Linked DNA regions of Kluyveromyces lactis. The protein of the gene in region 1 purifies or fractionates together with the protein of each later gene. This does not show direct contact. Links are inferred from orthologs where the notes say so. Each region holds a gene or a part of one and is shown in the gene's direction. Other genes may lie near its edges. The genes, in order: SPT5 and RPB5.

Evidence for each region.
Region 2: the proteins of SPT5 (region 1) and RPB5 purify together in Saccharomyces cerevisiae (affinity purification with mass spectrometry, with the first as the bait; 3 studies listed by BioGRID). This does not show direct contact. The link is inferred for Kluyveromyces lactis from reciprocal best matches to the Saccharomyces cerevisiae genes SPT5 and RPB5.

Annotation. Positions count from the first base shown.
Region 1 is NC_006038.1:68,475-72,999, reverse strand, and holds the start of SPT5 (transcription elongation factor SPT5), read left to right. Parts: upstream 1-1,647; coding exon 1,648-4,525. Other genes in the region: ERV25 (Erv25p), read left to right, coding at 1-472; RAD33 (Rad33p), read right to left, coding at 800-1,330. UniProt on the Saccharomyces cerevisiae protein: The SPT4-SPT5 complex mediates both activation and inhibition of transcription elongation, and plays a role in pre-mRNA processing.
Region 2 is NC_006042.1:1,968,233-1,970,918, forward strand, and holds RPB5 (DNA-directed RNA polymerase core subunit RPB5), read left to right. Parts: upstream 1-1,345; coding exon 1,346-1,993; downstream 1,994-2,686. Other genes in the region: DUF1 (Duf1p), read left to right, coding at 1-804; RIB7 (2,5-diamino-6-(ribosylamino)-4(3H)-pyrimidinone 5'-phosphate reductase), read right to left, coding at 2,255-2,686. UniProt on the Saccharomyces cerevisiae protein: DNA-dependent RNA polymerases catalyze the transcription of DNA into RNA using the four ribonucleoside triphosphates as substrates.

The DNA of each region.
Region 1 (4,525 bases):
TGTTGGTGATGGTCAACAGTTGAATCTATACGTTCGTGACAGTAACGGTAACGAATACCGTAGGAATAGAGACATTGCTGGAGAAGTACGTGTTGTATTTACTGCTCCACAATCCACCTCATTTGATGTTTGTTTCGAGAATGTGGCGCAAGTTAACGGTAGATCTTTGAGCCGTTCCATTGAATTGGATATTGAATCCGGATCCGAGGCTCGTGATTGGAACAAGATTCAAGCCAGTGAAAAATTGAAACCGGTGGAAGTTGAACTACGTAGGATTGAAGAATTGACTGACGAAATTGTTGATGAATTCAACTACTTGAAGGGGAGAGAAGAAAGACTAAGAGACACCAACGAGTCCACCAACAGAAGAGTTAGAAACTTTTCTATCGCTGTCATCGTTGTTTTGGTCGCTTTGGGTGCATGGCAAGTAAACTACATGAAGAACTTCTTTAGAGCTAAGCACATTATTTAGAATGTTCGAATAGTTTCAATGCCTTGAATCTCAATACGATCTTCAAATATTGAATTGAAGAAACATACATCATATGGTGAGCCTTTTATACGTGTACAGTATCTATATATGGAAAATGGCATAATTTCTAAATCGGACGAGTAGAGGGGGAAAGGGATTATATTATGCCTAGACGGGTAGGTCTTTGTTTTTGCTAGAATTCTATGTTGATATGGCCACCAGTTACATTTATAAGTTTTGTACTAAGTTACTAGTGATATTCTTCCAAATGTTCCAAAGATTGACGTGTTTTTTAGGAAGTGAATTATTTAGTGGATTGCAATGATGCTAGTATCTTAATAAACCCATTTTACCAAGTAATTTGGCAAAGTCTAGGTAAGTGACAAATACCCTCTCGCCGTTCGTAGCCCAACTTACCATTGACAGGATAATATGTTGATCCATATCCACTTGAACAGCAGCCTTCTGGACATCTTTAACACTTATCACGTGCTTCCTTAGTGCAACCTTAGGGAACTGTTGCAATCTACCGGTATATTTTAATAGTAGTTCCCATTGTTTATCTATTATACTCTCGTTGTCCATGAAGATCAAGAGTCGATAAGTGACATCCAAGAGTTTTTCGAAATCTATGACGTCAATTCCATCCAAGCATAAGTCCTTGAATTCTAATAATCCGTACCATGATTTACTGATTTGTAATTCCGTATAAAAACTAGAAATATCAGCCCACTTGAATTCACCTTCTTCGGTGAAGCTTAAATATATCGATAGGACTTCATCTTCAATCTCGGTGGGCATTCTGGCCTCATTCCATCTGGTAATTGTGTCATAACTGACATCATTCTTTTTCCGCATAACTACATTATCTGGTCAGCAATGACTCATCGGTTAATATTGTCCTTAACGTAGCCAGAGCTGATGTTATATATTAAAGACTACATAAGGTACTAGCTGCCCGTTCGTTATGAAGTGATGCAGACTGATTCATCGGCTACTTAAGTACTTTTGAAATACTTAGGCGAGAGTTACCCTCTATTTGTGATCCTTGAAAAATTTCAATCTAAACTTCCCAATTTTCAATACAAAAATGGTAGTCCACGCTAAGTTGTAATGATGATCAGTATGCATTACAGTTCGCATTCACGATACAAAGCAACAGTCAGTAAGACGTCATGAGCGGTACTGCTGAGGAATCCGATAAAGCAGAGGCTGTTTCTGTACCTGAAACAGTTTCTGGGTCAGTTGAGAGTCAAGATAAGGAGCATAACTCTACTTCATCTTCGTCTGATTCTACAGATGTGGTTGGAGGCAAGAAAAGAACTATCGATGAAGTTGATGGGAGTTCTGAAAACAACTCTGCATCTGTCGATCAGTTAAAGGACGCTCCTACTGATTCTAAACCAAAGACAGAGGCTACTGAAGATAGTCCAATTAGGGGAAATCAAGGGAACAATCAAGAAAACAGTCAAGAAAACAAAGACGATGAAGATGATGAAGATGACAATGACGACGATGACAATGACGATGACGATGACGAAGATGAAGATGTCGAATCATATAGGAAGAAGCAACGTCGTGAAAGAAACAGATTCTTGGATATTGAAGCCGAAGTCAGTGAAGACGAAGACGACGAAGAAGATGAAGAAGATTCAGAACTAGTTCGTGAAGGTTTCATTACTCGCGGTGACGAAGAAGACGAAGAGGATCGTGGTGGTAGAGTTGATGACAGACTGCATAGAGAATTAGATCAAAATCTTCAAAAAACTGCGGATGAAGACATGCACAAGATCGCTGAAGACTTCAAGAAACGTTATGGTCGTGACTCTTCCAAAGATTACCGTGTACAAACTCAAGGTGGGTATGTACCTCAGAGGTTTATGTTACCAAGTGTTGATACTGCTATTATTTGGTCCGTTCGTTGTAGACCAGGGAAGGAGAAAGAACTAGTGAGAAAGTTGCTAAATAAGAAGTTTAACTTGGATAAATCTATGGGCTCTAAAAAATTAAAGATTCTGTCCATCTTCCAAAGAGACAATTACACAGGAAGAATCTATATCGAAGCTCCAAAACAATCTGTTATCGAAAAATTTGTCAACGGTGTTCCAGATGTCTATTCTAATCAAAAGCTTTTGATTCCCGTGCAAGAACTACCTTTACTATTAAAGCCTACCAAGTCAGATGAAGTGAGACTTGATGTTGGTTCTTATGTTAGAATTAAAAGGGGTATTTATAAGAATGATTTGGCAGTCATTGATCAAATTAGTCAGAACAACTTAGAAGCTCTATTAAAGATTGTACCCAGATTAGACTACGGTAAAAATGACGAAATCGACCCAGATACAAATCAGAGAAAGGCAAAGAGAGCAACGTTTGCTAGTAGGCCTCCTCCTCAATTATTTAACCCTACTATGGCATTAAGGTTAGACCAAGCCAACTTATTCAAAAGAGATGACAGGCACTTCACTTACAGGAAGGAAGATTATGTTGACGGTTATCTTTTCAAATCTTTTAAGATTCAGTATCTTGATACAAAGAATATCCAACCTACGGTGGAAGAATTATCAAGGTTCGGCAGTAAAGAAGGTGATGTCGATCTAGCAGCTATTGCTCAAACTATGAAAAAAGCTCAAGCTTCTAAAGCTATGTTTCAACCAGGTGACCGTGTTGAAGTGTTGACCGGGGAACAACGTGGATCTAGAGGTGTGGTGACTAGAAGTTCTAAAGACGTCATCAGCGTTAAACTATCGGGCTTTTCAGATAAATCATTAGAGTTCCCAATTGCATCTCTAAGAAAAATTTTCGAACTTGGTGACCATGTCACAGTAATAGCTGGTGAACATGAAGGTAACGCTGGTTTGGTTCTTTTGGTGCAGAACGGTCAAGTCACATTTGTTTCTGACCAAACTAGAGAAAATTTGACAATCTCTGCGAATAACTTGAGTAAATCTATGGATTCTACTCCGACATCAAGCGAGTACGCTCTACATGACATTGTTGAGTTAAGTGCCAAAAACGTGGCATGTGTGATCCAGGCTGGACATGATATTTTCAAGATTATTGACGACTCCGGTAAAGTGGCTACTGTTACTAAAGGCTCAATTCTTGCCAAGATCAATGTAGCAAGAGCGAAAGTAGCTGCTGTCGATGGTAATGGTAGAGAAATAAAAATTGGCGATGTAGTAAGAGAAAAGATCGGTTCCCGTAGAGAGGGACAAGTACTCTACGTTCAAAACCAACATATTTTCATTAGATCGAAAACAATAACGGAAAATGCCGGTGTTTTCGTTGTTAATCCAATGAATGTCGAGGCTGTCGCCTCAAAAGAAAACTTGATGTCGTCAGCATTGGATTTATCTAAAATAAATCCAAATATTGCGTCTAAGATGGGACCACCACAAACTACTCAGCAGACGCGGTTAGTTGGCCGTGACGTCGCTTTGAACAAAACTGTTAGGATACGTTCTGCGGGATACAAGGGGCAGTTGGGTATTGTCAAAGACGTCAATGGAGATAAGGCTACTATTGAATTGCACTCCAAAAATAAGCATATTACAATAGACAAAAGAAAACTTACTTACTTCAGTCATGAAGGTGGTGAAGGTATAACATACGATGAACTTGTTAGTAGACGTGGTAGAACTCCACATACCAGATTGGGCCCAAGCTATGTCAGTGCACCAAGACACATGGCTGCCGGTGGTGCGGTGGCAACGAACACTCCGCAACAACTTCCTGGTGGAATGACTCCTGGTTGGAATGCATTTGATGGCGGTAAAACTCCTGCGGTTGGCCAGAACGGAGGAACTTCATCCTGGGGTGGTGCTTCGACATGGGGCGGACAAGGCCCTGGTGGTGCTTCTGCCTGGGGTGGAGCTGCTGGAAACACTTCCACCTGGGGTGGGCAAGGTGCTACATCAACTTGGGGTGGTGCGTCCACTTGGGGTAATAAATCTAGTTATGGAGGCGCCTCTTCTTGGGCAGCAAGCGGAGAATCAGGAGCAGCTTCTGCCTGGGGCGGTGGCAATAAATCAAGCTATGGAGGTACTTCTA
Region 2 (2,686 bases), on another chromosome or scaffold:
TTCAATTCAAAGAGTTTTTCCAAAGATCTGTCTGAACGAAAGCCAGGACTTTTCTTGAACGAATATATCGAAGAAGTTTATCACGCTTATTTGAAACAGGCTCCAAACTCCTCATCAACGTTCATGAAGTTTGGGAGGCGGATCCCCGAGACTTTGTTCATCAGAGACTCAACTAGACCCGTGATACAAATCAAGAGTGGATGCATTCTCACGGTCAACCATTGGAAAGAGGGGTCCACAGGGGAAACTATTGCATTTTCCACATATCTCCCACCCCCTACATATACGGCAAACGACTTGATCGATAACTACCATACTTATGAATCATTAGAAAGACATCTCCCGATATGGCTTGGAAAGATTCTTTTCAAAGAGGATAAAGTCATTAAGACGTACCCAAAAATCACATTCATCATCCAGCCTTGGAAGGACGAGGCTCATTTATCGGAGGAAACGCAACAATCGCCAGAGGCTGAAAGACTAGTAGTAGAACATAAAAGATCAGGGTTCCACAAAAAATCTAAACCACCTGAATCACCCTTAATGCTACCGAAGATTAACGATAGCAATGTTAGATTAACAGCTGCAAATATGATAAAGGCAAAAAAGATCAAGACTTACATAGTGGATAGATTCGAATCAAAGACACCTGAGATGAAAAACAAAGAAGATCCAAGCGAATGGTTAGAAATCTTGTGCAAAGGAACAGTACTAGAAAACGATATCACCCTGAGTGCTATACGCACTTTATACTGGAAATCAAACACAGACATTGTTCTTGAATATAGACGTAAACCGACTTAAAATTAAGAGAGACTGTGAGACTAAGTTCTCACCCAGGCTTATCAATATATATATATATAACTAAATATAGACATATATACAAACATAGAACTACACCTGCCGCCCTTGACTCAGAGCATTCCATACCAACACAAGACAGGCACGTGACTGAAATCATGAAGGACGAGTTTGATGGTTTGGCTCTGTTTCCTTCTTTCATCGCATTGAAATTTCGAAGGTTTGTTGAAGTTTTTCTTTTTCTTTTCAGCCAAAATTTTCCAAAATTTAGAAAGCGATGAGAAACAAATCCATTAATTTGTTGATTGAAATTTAAGAAAAGATTGAAGTTAGGTAGCCGAATAGTCCTTGTACCGGTTGAAATTAAGGGGTAAGATTAGTTTGCATATCGATAATTGAGTTCTTAGTACTTGTTTGTGCATATCGATAATTGAGTTCTTAGTACTTGTTTGTGCATTTTAGAATTTAATACGAACTAATCTTCAAGCGGAAAAAGTTAGTTTCATAAGATATCAAAGGCAAGTGACGCACAATTTTTGTAACAATGGATCAAGAGCAGGAGAGAAACATTTCCAGGCTATGGAGAGCTTTTAAAACGGTGAAGGAAATGGTTAGGGACCGTGGATATTTCATTACCCAGGAGGAAATAGATTTGAGTTTAGAAGATTTTAAGGCTAAATACTGTGATTCTATGGGCAAGCCACAACGTAAGATGATGTCTTTCCAGTCCAATCCAACCGAAGAATCAATAGAAAAATTTCCTGAGATGGGTTCATTATGGGTGGAATTCTGTGATGAAGCATCTGTTGGTGTGAAGACGATGAAGAATTTTGTGGTTCATATTACGGAAAAGAACTTCCAAACTGGTATATTCATCTATCAAAGTGGTATTACTCCAAGTGCAAACAAGATTTTACCAACTGCAGCACCAGCAGTCATCGAGACTTTCCCAGAAGCATCTTTGGTTGTCAATATTACACATCACGAACTAGTCCCAAAGCATATCAGGTTAAGTGAGGCTGAAAAGAAGGAATTATTAAAAAGATATAGATTAAAGGAATCTCAATTGCCTAGAATCCAAAGAATGGACCCAGTAGCATTATACCTTGGTTTGAAAAGAGGCGAGGTTATAAAAATTATTAGAAAGTCTGAAACTTCTGGACGTTACGCAAGTTACAGAATCTGTTTATAAGAGCAATTAAAAAGAGCCATTCCCCAACCCTAAGTAAAGTAAATGCGTGTGTATAATAATAGACCAAATTAGAGCAAGAGAAACTAATAGGGCCTTAAACACACTCTTCGTATGAGAACCCATCAGGGGATATCATAATCTAATTACGATTCTTTTTTCAATTATTTAAGGAAATGATTAATCACGTTTTGAACATAGCATGTCTGAATTAAGAGAGTTCATTGATATAAGAATTCGAATTTTTAGGAAAACAGGTAAAGATCAGGAATGGCTCACAAGACGTGAACATAACACGCTATCCCTTGTTCCCTTCCACCAGGAGATATCTTTCAAATTAATTTCAATAAGAGGAGACACTTCAACACCCTCACTACCCAAGAAGGTGGCACCAACGGTGATGACCAGGGCATCGATAAGGTGTGGTCTCTGTAGCAAATCATTGATAACAATCCCACCACCTTCAACCATGATGGATTTTAATCCGAATTGAGATTTCAATTGGATGAACAAATCGTGCCAGTCCACTTTACCTGTAAAATTAGTTTGCATCACTAAATAGTCAACGTTCTCTTCTACAACTTCTGGAAGCTTTTTCACGACTACAATTGGTGCTTTACCATCACCAGAATCAAACAAAGTTTTCATCTTGGAACCCTCAAACTTCCATTTCCCGTTTGGATCTAAAATTATGGG